3 linked regions of the Astyanax mexicanus genome follow. The protein of the gene in region 2 interacts with the protein of the main gene of each other region in a pairwise test. Links are inferred from orthologs where the notes say so. Each region holds a gene or a part of one and is shown on either strand. Other genes may lie near its edges.

What was found.
Region 1: the proteins of kctd9a (region 2) and lonrf1l interact in binary tests that used the Homo sapiens proteins (3 or more experiments, as listed by UniProt). The two-hybrid records come from large-scale screens. The link is inferred for Astyanax mexicanus from reciprocal best matches to the Homo sapiens genes KCTD9 and LONRF1.
Region 3: the proteins of kctd9a (region 2) and nup35 interact in binary tests that used the Homo sapiens proteins (3 or more experiments, as listed by UniProt). The two-hybrid records come from large-scale screens. The link is inferred for Astyanax mexicanus from reciprocal best matches to the Homo sapiens genes KCTD9 and NUP35.

Annotation. Positions count from the first base shown.
Region 1 is NC_064419.1:8,756,756-8,762,640, forward strand, and holds the start of lonrf1l (LON peptidase N-terminal domain and ring finger 1, like), read left to right. Parts: upstream 1-1,966; 5' UTR 1,967-2,058; coding exon 2,059-2,692; intron 2,693-4,965; coding exon 4,966-5,081; intron 5,082-5,885.
Region 2 is NC_064419.1:25,584,813-25,590,697, reverse strand, and holds the start of kctd9a (BTB/POZ domain-containing protein KCTD9a), read right to left. Parts: upstream 2,997-5,885; 5' UTR 2,874-2,996; coding exon 2,826-2,873; intron 661-2,825; coding exon 539-660; intron 445-538; coding exon 401-444; intron 283-400; coding exon 186-282; intron 1-185. UniProt on the Homo sapiens protein: Substrate-specific adapter of a BCR (BTB-CUL3-RBX1) E3 ubiquitin-protein ligase complex, which mediates the ubiquitination of target proteins, leading to their degradation by the proteasome.
Region 3 is NC_064418.1:46,394,159-46,400,043, reverse strand, and holds the start of nup35 (nucleoporin NUP35), read left to right. Parts: upstream 1-1,988; 5' UTR 1,989-2,023; coding exon 2,024-2,045; intron 2,046-3,571; coding exon 3,572-3,739; intron 3,740-4,343; coding exon 4,344-4,471; intron 4,472-4,556; coding exon 4,557-4,611; intron 4,612-4,749; coding exon 4,750-4,891; intron 4,892-5,303; coding exon 5,304-5,373; intron 5,374-5,618; coding exon 5,619-5,747; intron 5,748-5,885. UniProt on the Homo sapiens protein: Functions as a component of the nuclear pore complex (NPC).

The sequences.
Region 1 (5,885 bases), about 17 Mb from region 2:
TTCCCGCTGATGAAATAAAATAAATATCAGCCAAAATCGCCGACATGTTCCTCACATAGCTGTTTTTTTTTTTTTTTTGCGTTTTCGCCGACTAACACTCACGTGTCTGTGTTGCTATGGGACGCTTAGCCTGGTGCTGCTAAGCTAACGCTTGTTGTGCTAATGTTTTGACAGGAATAAAAGAAGAAAAAATATTCATTTTCTTTTAACTTAAAATAAAAAAAAATAAGAAGGTTTAATTTTATAAACTTAAAGTTAAGAAAAAAGGTTTCAATGAACATTATGTTAATTTATGTTTTTTTTTTTAGTTTAACTGTATTCATTTAAATTTCTGAATAAAATTGTTTACTTTTATTATCTAAATTTCATGTTGAATTATATGTATTCCTCTGACAGTTTGTTGACACTTATAAAAATTTTTATATACAGCTCTGGAAGCAATTTACAGACCACTTCAGTTTCTGCATCAGTTTCTCTGATTTTGCTATTTATAGGTGTGTTTGAGTAAATAAACATTGTTGTTTTATTCTATAAACTACTGACAACATTTCTCACATTTCTCTCCAAATAAAATGTTGTCATTTGGAGCATTATTTGCAGAAAATAAGAAATGGCTGAAATAACAAAAAAGATGCAGAGCTTTCAGACCTCAAATAATGCAAAGTGAACAAGTTCATATTCATAAAGTTTTAAGAGTTCAGAACTCAATATTTGGTGAAATAACCCTGGTTTTTAATCACAGTTTTCATGCATCTTGGCATGTTCTCCTTCACCAGTCTTACACACTGCTTTTGGATGACTTTATGCCACTCCTGGTGCAAAAATTCAAGCAGTTTAGCTTGGTTTGATGGCTTGTGGTTATTCTTTCTCTTGATAATATTCCAGAGGTTTACAATTTGGTAAAATCAAAGAAACTCATTTTAATTATAACACAATTATTGTAAGAACATCAAGAAATGCAACAAAACTGTGCACTTGCATACGTAAATGTAATAAACACTATTAATGTAAACAAACTACCTTCCACTACCAGATCAGGAACATCACTCTCTATCTTTCAGAAACTCCTGAAGACAGAGCTCTTCAAAGAGCACTTACTCTCTTATATCCCATTATTTCCCTTTGGCCTCTTTTAGGCCCAGTCTTAAATGTTTTTTTTTTAACTTGATCTTCTATGTCTTTTACTACTTAATGTACATCATTATTGTACATCGCTTTGGACGAAAGCGTCTGCCCAATGTAATATAATGTAATATAATTAATGAATGAGTATTTGTGATGGGAAGGCTAACCAAGGTATTTTGTGGTTGTCTCAAATATTGCTGAAACAGCCACAGCCACAGCAATTCAGGTGTTAGGTGTCAGATCTTCATGTGTGGTTAAGTGTTGCTGATTGGATCAAAAAGCTACTTAAGAGATGAGATTAGAGTATAGGGGAAGGGAATGGGCCCTATGAGTAACCTCAGATGTTAGGTGCATCAGTCATCATTTTCCTCTATTATGTTACTTACTACATAATGTAACTGTAGTATAACACTAATAAAATGTCAAATGTAATGTGTGCTAATTATACAACGACGCATTACAACATTATTGAATATGTGACATGTTTTCAAGTTGATGATTTGTAATAGCTCGCCTATTAGATTATTGTGCTTTATTTAACCTTTTGGCTGAGTTAAGTGAAAAGTTACACTTTGTGACAGGTCGGTAACTCTGTTATCTGTATAACTCTGTGATGTTGTGGGATTTGTCAGGGTCTGGTTGTACTTCAGTGTCCCGGTACACCGTGCCGTCTGTCTATTGTGTGACGCCTCATTTCCAGAGTTACAAAACTCACCGAGCGCACGTTTTGTAATCGTCGAGTTCTGACCAATAGGAGCGCAGGAATCTGCCCTCACGTGACCGTGTTTTTTATGTAACTCGCTTTCAGCGCTTGTTCTCGCGCTGGGCAAGGATGGCTGTGATACTATTAACAGTTATTATATCTCTGTGCTGAAGTTATTACGGTGATAATACTAGAGTTATAACACTAATACGCGGGCTGACCGCTCCAGCATGTCGGTGGAGAAACGCAGCGGGGCGCAGGCGACGGAGGCCCGGGCAGCAGGCTTCTACATAGCGGCGCAGGGAGAGGCGGAGTGGGGCGAGGACTCCAGCGTGGACCCGCAAAGCGTGATACTGCGGAAAGCGGACTCACTGGCGTCCCAGAACCGCCTGAAAGAGGCGATAGACATGTTCTGCGCGGCACTGAGGCACGACCCCATCCGGCCGGAGCAGCTGGGCGCGCTGGTGGACTGTATCCTGCGGAACTACAAGCAGGGGAACGCCGGGGAGACTGTAGCGACTCTGCTGACCCAGGGGAACCGGGGACAGGTGGGGGACTCGGGCTGTATGTTTGACTGTCCCGGGTGTGGCAGGTTCATGTGGGAACCTGTGACCGCGGCATGTGGACATTCCTACTGCAGAGGCTGTTTACAGCGGATACTGGTGCCCCGGTGCCAGGTGTGTAGCGAGAACATGGACCGGAGCCCTTCAGAACACAAACCCAACGTGGTTCTGAGCGGACTGCTGGAGAAGTGTTTCCCGGAGGAGGTGAGGAAAGCCCGGCGGGTTGGAGAGGCTGAGGGGCTGATGAGGAGTAAACACTGGGAGGAGGCTGCAGCGCTGGCCAGTGAGCTTTTAAAAAGCGGTGAGCTGTGTTTTTAACTTATTTCGTCTTTATCCTTCGCCCTAAACAAATTATGATATAAAACAGCACTGTTGTCCTTTATTACTGACAAAAGTGGAGAACCCCCACACAGTTTGGGCTTTTCCAGGCTAAACGATTACATAATTTATTCACATCGCCCGAGTTCTACTGACCAACATTTCAGAGAACCGGCCCCGCCCACGTCGTTCCTGGATTCACGTGACTCCGCCCACCAGCCTTACGAAACGCGTTTTTACGCGCGCATGCGTGGAGAGATGAAGGTTGTGTAAGGTTAAGTGTTGAGTTTTGTAATGTGACATGAGGTGAAGAGAAAGTGAGGCCTTTATTAATGGTAGTAATAACAATAATACGACGTATGAATAATGCTGATACTAATATTTTACTCATAATAGTTTACATGCTTACTTGTATGTAGGTATGCTTTATATAATTATAATGTATATCCAAATGCCATTACATAAATAGAATATATACACTCACTAGCATTTTGACAACTTTATTAGAAACACCTGCTCACAACCTTGTGCTTAAACTCACTAACCACTTTATTAGAAACACCTTGTGCTTCCACTAAGGATAAACTGAAATTAATTTTCTCAGGCTGAAACTGAACAAAATGACTGAAATGTTTCATTAATGTTGCCAATTCTTTCACCTTTACATACATTTGTCTGGATTTTTTAAAAGAATCACCTAGAACAATTTCTAGCTACAGTGTAAAGTATTTATGGAACTGTCAACATTTTTAACATCCCAGCAGATGCAGCACAATACAACAATATGACACAATATACAGTACCAGTCAAACGTTTGGATACACCTTTTCACATTCAATTAGTTTTCTTTCTTTTTATGATTTATTTTTACACTGTACATTTAATATTGAATTAAGTAAAGCCATACAGGAATATATGCAGAACTATACTGTGAACTAAAAGTGTTAAACAAACCAGAAGATGATTTATACTTTTTTTTTTTTAAACAGCATATTTAGTTTTGAGGACAGATCTGCACACATTTGGTATTTTAATCTCAGTGTCTTCATGAGGGAGAGTCACCTGAAATAGTTTTCTCAGTGTCTTGAAGGAGTTCCTGGAGGTGCTGAACAATAGCTGCTGCTTTTCCTTCACGCTGTGAAGCTCCAGCTCATCCATCCCAGTTGATCAGGTTTAGGTTAGGGGATTGTGGACAAACACTTTTTTTTTTTACCATTTACTGCGTAATTCCATATGTTTCCTTAATTATATTTATGTCTTTAATTATAATATACAGTATAAAAAAATAAATGAAAGATATAGGAAAAGCATTGAAGAAGCATAGAAGGTGTGTCCAAACTTTTGACTAGTACCGTAAATTAGTCAGAGTTTAGTATTAATTGTTTTTTTTTCACATATTTTGAACTCAAAAAGTGCTTTTTTTGGACATTTTTGGATCAAAACCTTTGGTTGCCAAATATTTGGCGCACCCTAGCTTCCACTCACTGACCACATGTAGAGAGAAAGCACATTGTAACACTTTATAGGTCAGTTATCGGTCATCTTCAGGGTCACCACACTGCGTGTACACCGAGAAACAGGCCACGGGGCACTTCAGGTCAAACCTACTGGCCAAGGTTTCCTTGCATTAGAGTCATGTAATCACATAATTATTTTATTATGCAATTAATTATATGTATTCCTCTCTGCATGTTTTCAGCAATGGTATAATGTTGCTGTAAATGATCAGAATCATGACTCATGGAGTGAGTGGTGTGTCACTGCCACTGCCAGCTTCTGTGAGTGTGTGTGGGTGGGTGAGCAAGCTGCATTATCAAGGTGTCCTAGTCTGCCCTCTGTTTTGGGCGCTTTTGAATAAATGTATGTTTTTTTTTTTAATCTGAAGGCTGACGCTTAAATTCCTCAACTCTGTTTCTGAACATGAGGGCTGACAAGGACACCCTTAGACTGCAGCACACACACACAGACCAAACACATCAAAAAATGTTAAATAACAGCAAGGTAAACTGCATTGCCTGCGTGCAACAACAGAGGTAGCTCTTTACACTGCAGAGTGGGCTCTTGTAGCATCATGAGGCTGGAGGCAGAGTGAGGTACAGTAAGAGAGTGAGGTAGTGTGTGGTAATACAAGGAACAGTCTATGTATCTATCTGTTTGTCCATGTATTTACATTACATTAAGTAATATTATTAGTATATTAAGTTGTCATTATTGTTAATATTATTATAAATTCTCTCTCTTCTGTCTCTTTTCCAGACCCTGGCAATGTTAGACTGCGAGTATGTCGAGCAGAGGTGTATCAGAGTCTGCAGCTCTATCAGCTGGCGCTGGATGACTGGGAGGTGTGTTTAAGCGCTTCACCCTCACTAGAGGTGAGCATGATTGGTTGTTTGATTGACTGATTGATTTTTGATAATTAGGTAATTAACTGAGGTACAGAATGCTGGGCAACACTAGGAAGGAACTGTGGCTGCTTTTGGTTTCCTGAGTGAGTGACTGATGGTGAATGATAACAGGCTGGACTGTGATTTGTCCTCTCTATTGTATGCTAGGTGTTTAGCTAATATAACTGACTACAGTACTGACAAGAGGTCAATTGTAAGTTAACTGATTTAAGTATTTACTGAAGGATTTGATGTCCAAACTCTTACATACAGAATTAAAAATATGATTAAGGGCGTTTTTAAACCTGAAAGTTCAAATTTGAGTCTGCACCAAGGTTTGTGTGTTGCTCGTAACAGATTCCCCTCGTATTCCTTTTATTTCTATTATATATAAATGTAAATCTAGAGTTACAGTAGATACAGAATCACTAGTTTATTCTGTTGTACCCATACTACTGCATGATGCACCTGCACCCCAAGGGGAGTCAAATTTCAACACAGCACCACTTCTTTTTCTTCTTCTATTGTTTGTTGGGTGACAATAGACTGCCTCACCTTCCTATAATTAACAAAAAGTTCAAACCACCCACAAAAGTGTTTTCAAACTGCAAACAAATTAGTCCATGATTCAGCTGATCCGGAATGAGACCCCCTCTTTATGTCCCTTTTCACACATGCTATTTTAAATTAGACCAAACAAGGTAGGTGTGAAAGCATCCTAAATATGTGCTATAGGCTTCAGATGTTTGCAGATCATCTTTTGAGCTGCTATCTAGTGCCCATTTCCCCCAG
Region 2 (5,885 bases):
CTATTGGTAATGCTTCTCTACAGGACTCAAAGTTAAAGGAGTGTCCACAAACATTTGTAAATTAGTACTTATGGCTAGTCCAGCTAAAACAAAAATAATTGAAGCTTGTAACCGTTTTTTAACTATTCAAACACGGTTATAAACCCTTAAAACATCACCCAGCATCTTAAAAGAACTCTACTTGCCGTGTGGTCGTGAAGAGACGCCCACCAATATTTAAAGTCAACCAATCAGTGTGGCAGCTTGAAGAGTCCTCTGCAGCCTTTTCCTCAGTCTGAGGATCTGAAACACACCCAAACACAAACAAGTGTATACGTGCTCTGAGGACACTTTCATTGTTTCCCATGTGAGGTTTCAGGTATATGAGGAAATGACAAACTTAATCATGACACCAACTTACCGACAAAGGAGTCTCCCTCAGACACATATAACACATCATCATCTCTGCAAAACAGAGAGTCACACATGATTAATCTTTGTTGATTAAGGACAAACAATAAGTACCAGTACCAGGAACCTCCATCGGAACATAACTTACCTAATGAGGGCTATATCATCAATGAGGCCTCCCTTGCCATTGTACAGATTACTAGCCCTGATTCCCAGTTTATTGCTGGCAACGGATAAGAGATCCGACAGAGTGCCATATACTGCTACAACCTACAAGACAAAAAAAAGCAGAGGTCAGGATTACTGAAACAAACTAATGTTGGTTCAAACTGATGTGAACTGAAATTATCCAGCTCACTAAAGGTGTTTTTACACTTTAATGTCTGCACCAAGACTTGGGTCTTTGTTACATTGTGTACATTTGGTCCAGCTAGATTTGGTTTCACACTGCAGTTTAGTGAGCAAAGAATCATAGGAACATGCCAGAACTAAACCCACGTGTAAAGTAGCAATGCCAGAGAATCTCTAGAGAGGAGAATACCCACTTGAAGTGAGTCCAAGATGAACAGGTTCATATGAAGCAACTGAGCAAAATCAGAATTTATAAATATCTGAAAATCTCAACACAGTACGCTAGATTCTTTACTGCTTAAACCTGTTTGCTGTCGAACAATGGAAATATACAGGTACACTTTTTTTTGCTTATAACATTAAATAAAACTCAGAACAAGTAGTTATTACATATAATTTTAGTTTTTGACTTTTTTCCACCCCCATTGAGTTTCCTCTAGCGTTGAACAGTAACTTTCTGATATATTGGGGAAATATTGGGAAAGTGGTCAGACTCTGCATAAACAGCTCTGGCCATGCAGAAGGTTTGTTTTGGAGCCGTGGTTTTCTGTTTCTACATGATCCCTTTGGCTGTAGCAGTTTACACTACAAGACTACACAAACACCAAGTGGTCACCAACTTACCTCTGAGAAAGTTTTTTTTTTTTTTTTTGGTGGTGGTTTACAAAAAATAATCAGTTAACTTTAAAATATATTTTCACAATACAAGCCTTCATTAAATAAAATGAGGGGGAAGAATTTATATATACAATATAATAAGAATATAATTGATACGGTCACTATAAAGTAATGACATGTTTCATACTCATATTCATAATTTAAATAAATATCTTAAAGAAACGACAATGAAATATGTACAGGTGCTTCCATATCCAATGAAATATATTAACGGTTTTAATTAACATTTTCTCCTATTCAGGACAATATTATGCAGTCAGACCTTCTTTCAATCAGTGTTGTAAAGTTATAATATGACATTTCAGGGACATAATATCAATATATATGTGGGAAATTATAGATAGTAGTACTCATATTGCTATAAAAAACTAATGATAAATAAACTTTACACGTTACTGGTTGGTTAGTAGTTAGTTAGCTAGCTAGCTGGGTAATAAGTATACAGATCTGGAAAAAAAATAAAAGCACTTAAATAAATTTTGTTTCTTTGAAAACCTCTGGAACATAATCAAGAGAAAGATGAATGATGAATGCCATAAAAAAAAAAGCTGAACTGAATTTTTGCACAAGGAGTGACGTAAAGTTATCCAAAAGCAGTGTGCAAGACTGGTGGAGGAGAACATGCCAAGATGCATGAAAACTGTGATTAAAAACCAGGGTTATCCCACCAAATATTGATTTCTTGAACACTTAAAACTTTACGAATATAAAGCTGTTTTCTTTGCAGTATTTGAGGTCTGAAAGCTCTGCATCTTTTTTGTTGTCATTTCAGCCATTTCTCTTTTTCTGCGAATAAATCCTCTAAATGACAATATTTTTTATTTGGAATTTGGGAAAAATTTTGACTAAAATGTTGTCCGTAGTTTATAGAATAAAACAATAATGCTCATTTTACTCAAACATATACCTATAAATAGCAAAATCAGGTAAACTGATTCAGAAAATAAAGTGCTCTCTTAATTTTTTTTTTTCAGAGCTGTAGCTACCCAACTAGTTAGCTAAGCTATCTTAGATGGGCCTGACCATTAGATGCTATGTAACGTTATAGTCTTAAGCTTAGCTATGTTAAATTAATACACAATATAGCTATAATTACAAAATAAACACAAGTTTCACACCAACACGGGTCATGATTATCATTATTTACACAAATACCAGCTAAACACAACACTGTTAACATGATTTCCTCTATCTAAGACTAGCCATACATGCTAGCTAGCGCTAGCTAAGTTAGTTGAGCCAGCGGACTCAGAAAGTAAAAATCCGCTCCGGGATTTGAGCCGCAGCCGATCCGCCAAGACATTGAGAACAAAATCCCGGAGAGGATTTTTACTTTCTGAACTTGGATTTTGCACCTTTACACAAAAGTCATTCAACATCACTGTAACGAACTCTTCAATCCTCACCTTTCCATTTTTGGAGGAGCCGTTGACAAAAAGCGTGACTCTTCGCATTATTTGTTTAAGCTATAATTATGTACAATATTGAGTTTAATAAACAAAACTAGACCGATTTCTACAGCGAACTCATCCCACAGTTACTCAGTAACAGGCTAAACCAGATTCACACAGTGAAGCCAGAGCCCAGCTCACCCAGTCGCCGTCCAATCAGAGTGACGCTATTGTTACTAGCCTTGCGAACAGACCAATCACAGGACAGAGCTACACGTGTCGGCTCGCGAGACCAGCCAATCAGACACAATTGTGGTGTAGCTTCACTCATGAGGAATTTGCAAAGGGAAATAATTACCTCAGCGTGGCGTTTCTGGAGCTGTGGGAAGGTTTGCTAAAATAGCTTAAATTCACTGTAGGAAGCAGAACAGTAATAACAGTACAGCAGGGACACCATAGCTAGTCTGTCTAAACATACATATACTAGTAGAGAATATAGCTAGTATAGACTTAAAAATAGTAGTTATAGTCACTCACATCCACACTAAACCCTCCCCTCTCCCTCCGCTCTTCTGTGTGCTGCTGCAGCAGTTAACTACATACTCCACCTTTAGGTAAACCTGCAGGGAAGAATATTAGTTGTCAAATTGTATAAAACTTTGAAACTGACGCATGTATAGTTAGGTTTTTTTGTTTGTTATAGTTTTTATAGCCTTATATATTTTCTATTCTTCTGTGTTTTGATTTGGCTGAGTATGTTTCTTATTGTATTGTGTTGTTGCTGCTGGATGCCTAAATTTCCTTCGGGATAAATAAAGTATCTATCTATGTAAATACATAATTCCTGGTATTTGCATATTCAGGAGTATTTTATTCTAATGAGTAACACAGCTTGAAGTTTCAGAGAGAATTAGCACAGAACCACAGTATCTTAAAACCATTGTTATTTTGGTAATATCGTATCATGATGCACCCTGTGATTCCCACCCCTACCTTCAACCCTGATCTGCATTGTAAAGCGAAAGCAATGCTTGGAGCCTTTACCAAGCAGGGTTGAATGAAACTGTACAACCCCCCCCCCCCCCCTTTACACAAAACTAAACTGTACACCCCCCCCCCCCCCTCCCTTTACACTCACAAAGAACTGAACTTCACCCACACACACACCCAGTCAGCACACAGAGGCTGACATGACTTTATTTGCTGCACTCTTAAAAACTATAAACTCTACCTCAGTAACTGCTGTGATTATATATGTTCTATATGTTACAGTATGTCACACATCTCTGCACCTTATCCCCACTATACACTTTATTATACCGTATCGGTACTGCACTGTCCTGTCTTTAAATTGTCTCGTCTTTTGTATTTATTGTTATTTAGTGTTATAATTTTATAATTTTATGTTGCACTGTCGTCACTCCTGCATTTTATGTTGTCTATTGCTTGTTGTTCTATGTTGCACCATGGTTCCGGAGGAACGTAATTTCATCACACTGTGTACCTGTACTCAGATGTAATGACAATAAAAGCCTCTTGACTTGACTTGACATGAAACATAAAAGTTATATTTTGTTGGCATCTTAATTTAAAACAAACAGTTTCCCTATTGTTAAAAAAAACACTGACAGTTCTGTGTAGCCAGTGGCAGTCAGGCAAACTAGGTTTGGCACTTTTTTCTTGTGTTTATTATATGTACAAGAAAACATACAAGTTTTTATGTTTTTATGATTTTATTTAGCACTGCACTGAAAAGAGCCTCTTCTCCACTAGATGGCAGAAAAGGAAAACACTTTACTGCAGCCTCACAATTTAGATATTTTAGTAACATGGTGTTAAAGAAATGAGGACAACGGATCATCTTTGCTTATTTAACTAGTGTAATCTGGGCACATCCAGTAAGGCATTGGCTGCTATTTTAAACAGGCCATAAATCTTACTGAAGTTTACAGGTAGGTCCCAGTTTCCTGAGAGCTGTAAGTCTTATCTGTCAAAATTAGCCTACATGACATTGCAGCCATTTTAACAAACAAAGAAGACAAGTTCTAACTCATAAAGTTTTAAAGTGTTCAGAAATCAATATTTGGTGGAACAACCCTGTTTTTAATCACTATTTGGTGGAATAACCCTGTTTTTTAATCACAGTTTCCATGCATCTTGGCATGTTCTCCTCCACCAGTCTTACACACTGCTTTTGGATAAATTTATGCCACTCCTGGCAACTTCAAACAGTTTAGCTTGGTTTGATGGCTTGTGATCATCCATCTTCTTCTTAATTATATTCCAGAGCTTTTCAATTTGGTAAAATCAAAGAAACTCATCATTTTTAACCCTCCTGCTTTCCTCATATTTACTAACACTCTTAATTCTCTGGGTCAATACCCAGCCATTTAAAATTATGATTAAATTTGAATAAACATGTTACAAAAGTTTATTCACCCATTCTTTATGTTTAGCTGATGAATTACCAGATGTTCTAGCATTAATATAATGTTAGTATTATATAAGTATATATATAAATTAGTATTATATAAGTATTTTAAGTATTGTTTTGTTGAGTTTGGACCTTAAGTTAGACTACATTTAGAGGAAGATTATAAAACTGAATGTTACTGTGACCTTGACATTATTACCACACAAATATGTGTAAAATATTGATATTTCTTATGTTTTATGCAAATAAATAGCTTTAATAAAACATATATTGAAATAAAAAAAATTGAAACACTTTATTTTTTATGTATTGCCTTTGTCAAATTAAGAAAAGACGATAAATATTAATCACGAAACTAAAGTCAACCATTAAACATTGAACGGGGTCAGATTGAGCCCATAGGTAATAAGAGGGTTAAGTTTTAAGTGTTAAAAGCATTCAGACTCCTTTTAAGAAGTGAGTTCAGTCACCAATTACAGACACAGCCTTTTTGTTGTGCCTGTAAATCTTATTTAATTACCATAGAAAACTGTATATATTTCATAATGCAAGTACCTGCAGCATTAACATGTGGAGCAGTAGAAGTGACTTCTCTCCAGTGCAGGAGCTCCAACCTAAACGGCTTTAGAATAAGACTAGGT
Region 3 (5,885 bases), on a different chromosome or scaffold from region 2:
TGTGTGTATTTATCATACGCACACACAACAATTTATTTACCTAATGGCTCCAGCAGCAGACTGTAGTTCTGTGTGTTTATTCAGCTGCAGACGACTAATATCATATTTTCTCACTCGCTAATGGAGACGTGAATCCATCAACTGCCTGATAAACACCCCCATTTCATATCCCACTGATTCAGATATATTTATCAATATTTGAGCAGCTGTAAATGCACACAGTTATTATAGTTTCACAGCTTTCATCCAAATATCACACTGCTCCAACCTCTGGTGTGATGATCTGGGGAGCCATCGCATACCACAATCAGTCGCTCCTAGTAGTGATAGTAGGGGCACTAACAGCTCAGCAATATATGTGCAGGACATCCTTGCTTCTAATGACAGGACTTTTAACTGGCCTTTTTCAGCAGGATAATGCTCACCCACAATGCACAGCAGAGGTTTCCTGAAAATGTCCAAGAATATCAAATTGCAACTCTGCAACTTCTCTGGCCTGCTCTGGTCTTTATAGTCATTGTTAATTGAGCATTTTGTAATAAGGATGGAGTGCTACACACTAGTAGCTCTCCAGCCCAGAGGGTTGTTGAACCCAAGTGCAGAACAGTCAATCTTAATGCAGGTAAACCTAAGAAGAAACTAGTCTCCTCGGCCAGGCACCAGCTTTTACACATTTATTGGACAGTTTATCTATTAAAGTCAGTGGTGGAACCAGAAGAGGCCTCTTTCTGGGTTGTAAACTGCACATGGGGCTTAGATGGGACCCGTGTGAGATTAAGGTGACTGTAATGATGGACCCCATTCTGGCAAGCCCCAGTAACAGTCCCAGAAACACCACGTCCATACCGACCTCTAACCCAAATAAACTTAAAAAACCCATTCAACCATAGGCTAACTATGATAATAAACACTGGATTTTTTTTGGCTGTGCTTTTCTAATGTAATAATCTGTGATTGGTGGATTTGTACAACTGATATTCTCATGTTGGTGGACTTTTAGATGTGCTTTTCTTTTATTGGTGGAGAATGCACTGTTCTCTGAATGGTCCTAATTAGTGGCTGTTTTATTCTCCTAATCATTATTTTTGTTATTTTATTATTGTAAAAAAGCCACTAATTATGACCAATCAGAGAACAACCCATTTAAAATCCCAGAAATAGAGACGACTGAACACGGTGAATGTCTGTTTCTGAGAGCACACTGCTCTCTAGTGGAGGAGGGGTGGAGTTGCGTGGTTCATTACCTGTGAATTCTCAGTGGAGGTGTATTCATTAAACTATTGTCTTTCAGATGGTTCAGTTTACTCCAGAATATCCCCATATTAGATGAGTCGTTTTCCATCAGAAGTGCACAGTATATGTCTACAAACTGCCTACTTTGGCTTTAAGACCGATATATTTGTATAATCCTGATGGCTGTTTTGTATTGTATTTTATGCTGCATTTAAGTGGTGCTGGTTAGATCTGAAAAAAAAAAAAAAATCCCAGCAGAAAGCGAAATATTTGAAAATAACATACTCTACAGACCTAAATTGAATTCGGTATGTTTTATGCCCTTCACCAGACCATTTTTTTTCTACAAGCTATACATATTACATAGTGGTTTAATCTTATTGAGTTTATTTTTAGTCTGCATTTTAGTTAGCAAATTAGCCATAGTCCACTAAACTATCTGTCTATCTAGCTATTTATTTATTTATTTATTTATTTATTTATCAATGAGTGAAACCGTTTATGTATTTATTTATTCCGTTTATTTATTTATCTATTAATTAAATTATTAATTTAACAATTTATTTAAATCGTTTATGTATTTATTTATTCACTTTGTTTATTTATTTATTTAATAGTTTATTTATCAATGTATTTATTCCTTCATGCATACATGTATTTATCAATTATTAAATCATTAATTTTATTAATATTTAAATTTATTTATTAATTGTTGGCTTATTTCGCGCGCGCGTGAGGACTTCAATCCTGGGGCTCGCGCGTCATTTCCGGCTGAGTTTGAATCCGCGGCATGGACGCGCAGGGAGTGCTGGGTGAGTCGGTGTTTCAGTATTTAAGGGTTATAAGTGTTAATTCAGGCTGTGCGGGATCTGCGGGCTGTGCGGGGCGGTTATTCTGCTGTTTATGATGTTTGCAGATGTACTGTTTATTTATTAAAACAGTAAATATCAGCGGTGTTCGGCTCTTGCCGGCTTGTGTTTCGAATTGTCCGTTCCACCTTAAATATTGAGTCAGGCGGCAGATTATAACCCGTCTAACTTCAGCACCGTTTAAGGTGGAACGGATAATTCCAACAAGCTAAGCTAACTTTAGCCTCGTGACCGCGTTTAATAGTTTTAATCATTAAAATAACATAATATAGCGTCACTACACACATATTAGATCATTTAATACAACCTTAAAGCACAAAATAATCCCTATAATTTAAATAATAGTTTTACATTGTACCGTTAGCATGTAACCTAGCTTAGCTAACAAGCTAACTTAAAAAAATAATATATATTACTACTGTTAGTTATAGTAACTTTCTACTCACACACTCACACACTGCTCACTACTGTAGGTTAACTTTTTATATTAGTATATAAACAGTCAAAAGTTTGGACACACCTCTTCTCATTCAGTGTTTTTTTCTTTCTTCTTCTTATTTTTTTTTTACCTTGTACATTTATTATTGAATACTATATTATACCCATGCGGGAACACATGCATACTTATTTATTAAACCGAAAGTGTTAAGTACATCAGAATATGTTTTATGTTTTAGATTTTTCTTTGAGGACCGATTTGCACACACGTATTTTAATCTTAGTGTCTTAATGTTAGAGAGTTTAGGAATAGTTTTCTCAGCATCTTGAAGGAAGGAGTTCCTGGAGGTGCTGAACAATAGTTGATGCTTTTCCTTCATGCTCAAATAACCAAATCTTTTTTTAACAGTTTACTACAAAATTCTATAGTTTTCATGTCTTTACAAATTGAATAAATAAATTAAAAAAAGAAAACACTAAATGAGGAGTCCAAACTTCTGACTGGTAGTGTATAAACTATATTATTCTAATGTGTTAATAGAAAACAGCAAAGCCTATTTTATAACAATATAACAGTAAAACAAATATTAAAATTAATAGTATAACTTGAGTATAATTATTTAATAATAATCATTATAAAATCACACACAGTTTTCAAAGCTTTCTCTGTGAATTGCACGGAGATATCGGAATTACAAGGGTGATAATTTTGTTCACCATTGAGATACTGAAATGGGCGTTAAGTACTTTAATTTCTTTAGGTCAAGATTAAATTACATTCCCATCTGTTATTAGGAAAGTAAAAGTCAGTGAAGTTTAGTAAATGTCTGTGGATGTTGTAATGGTCCAGTCTCTGCCCAGAGGAACATTTTGCAAAGAGGGATTTTCCAGTACATTGGTAAATTTAGGTTAGAAGTGAACAGTAGTCTGATAAGAAGCTCATTATACTGATGGAGATTCATGAATGTTGTATTCAGAGATAAAACAGTAAAGAAACCGCACCAACCTCCCTTTTTTAAATCTTTAATTAGGATTTGAACCGATGGCTCTGGGCTCCCCCACCTCCCCGAAGCCCGGCCCTGGGGCTCAGTTCTTGCCCGGGTTTCTGATGGGGGACCTGCCAGCTCCCACCACCCCCCTGCCCAGAACGATCAGCCTGAGTGGAGGAGGTGCAGAGATGAGGTCTCCTCTCCTAGCAGGTAAACACAAGAAGATAAAAAGCTTTAAAGTGTCTGTATTACTTTGTCTCTAAACTGAAAGCAAGCATTTCTTAGTGGAGAAGAATATGGACAAAATACTGTGTTTAATGGTACCAGTGTGCTGGAAAGACCATCCCTGCCAAGCCTAATATATTTATTCTAAAAACTGGGGTGTCGGGTCGCTTTTTGCGAGAGTAGTTCTTCTGGCCAGGTCACACGTCTTTATGTACTTACGTTACACAAACAGCCTCTGAAAGAGGATCCGGATCAGTTTTACTAAAGTCGAGTGGTTGGTGGAGCAATGGGGACTTCAGAAGAGGAAACTCAGATCTCAGTAGCTAATTCACTCATAGTAAAACCAAAGAAATGAAGGAGTGAAGTTTCTGACTGAGCTCTCTCTCTCTGTCTCTCTCTCTCTGAACATAACCTGGAATCGGACCAAGCAAACCAGTTGTTTTTCTATGAGTCAATTGTAGACCGAAGTCATGTTTAGCAAAGTTCTGCTATTTCCTTATCTATATTATTCCTCCCTGCTGTACAGTCAGTTGTGTGTAAGGAGTTCAGTATGTTATGTGTCCTAACTGATGAGTGCCTGTTCCATCAGGTGGTTCTCCTCCTCAGCCTGTGGTTCCCACGCCCAAAGACAAGAGCGGTGCTCCTCCAGTCAGAAGCATCTATGATGACCTGACCAGTCCGGGCATCGCCATGTCCCCCCTGGCATCATGCAAACAGGTGAGTTCTGGCACTGCACCTGAAACCTAACCGTCCATTTTATTGCAATGTAAAATCCTAATATGTGTAAAATTTTGTGTTTCAGCCTTACTCTGTGCTGCACACTCCACTAGCAGGTGTGATGGGAACCCCTGGTACAGGTGAGGGTTTATCTGTAACTTCAGTTTTAGCTTATGAGTTGCTTTAAATATAGATTCCAAGCAGGTGTATTGTAACATTTTAAATAAAATGAAGCATGATCATATGTAAACACACAGTGTGTGTCTCTCCTGCTGCAGGTGCAAGTATGTTCAGTCCTGCGGGTTTGAGTCAGCAGAGGAAGAGCACCCTCTCACCTGCACAGGTGGATCCTTTCTTCACTCAGGGAGACGCGCTGTCCTCAGAAGATCAGCTCGACGAGACCTGGGTCACAGTGTTCGGGTACTTGAGTATAGTAAAATATAGTAAAAATAATACTCCAGTAGATACAGATACAGTATTTTAGTAGTTAAGTACAGTAATGAAGTAAAAATAATACTCCAGTAGATACAGTATTTTAGTAGTTAAGTACAGTAGTGAAGTAAGAATAATACTTCAGTAGATACAGATACAGTATTTTAGTAGTTAAGTACAGTAATGAAGTAAAAATAATACTCCAGTAGATGCAGTATTTCAGTTCTTAAGTACAGTAGTGTAGTAAAAATACTCCAGTAGATACAGATACATTTTAGTACTTAAGTACAGTATTAAAGTAGTTCTATTTCTTTACAATAACATCTCAGTTTGTGTTGATATCTAGAATTTGTATGTCATTGTGTGGAGAACTATAGTTGTGGTGTTTTGGTTTCTGCAGGTTCCCTCCAGCTTCAGCCTCCTACATCCTGCTGCAGTTTGCTCAGTATGGGAACATACTTAAACATGTAGTAAGTATTTAATTAAGAATATATATTCCTTAGACACATACAACATACTGTTTGATTTTTTTTTTTTTTGCAATGCATATACATTCAGATTAGTATATAAATATTGTATTGTACGTTTCTTCTTTTCAGAAAACAATCTCATCTCAATTTTGCTCATAAGCATATTTAAATACGAGATTTTTTGCTATATAGCCCAGCCCTAGCTCCAGTGTACTCTGTAACTGTGTGTGTTTTTTAATGAACAGATGTCTAATGCCGGTAATTGGATGCATATCCAGTACCAGTCTAAACTGCAGGCGAGGAAAGCCCTCAGTAAAGATGGGAAAATCTTTGGAGAGGCCATTATGATTGGTGTCAAACCTTGCATTGATAAGGTAAGAGGCATTTATTGTTATGTTTATCTTTAATTAAGATTATGAAGATTATGAAGATAAGTGGTAATTTACAAGAAATAAAGGCTTACAAAGGGACTTCAATGTGGCAGCTATGTGCATCATTCCATGTTTTTTAGA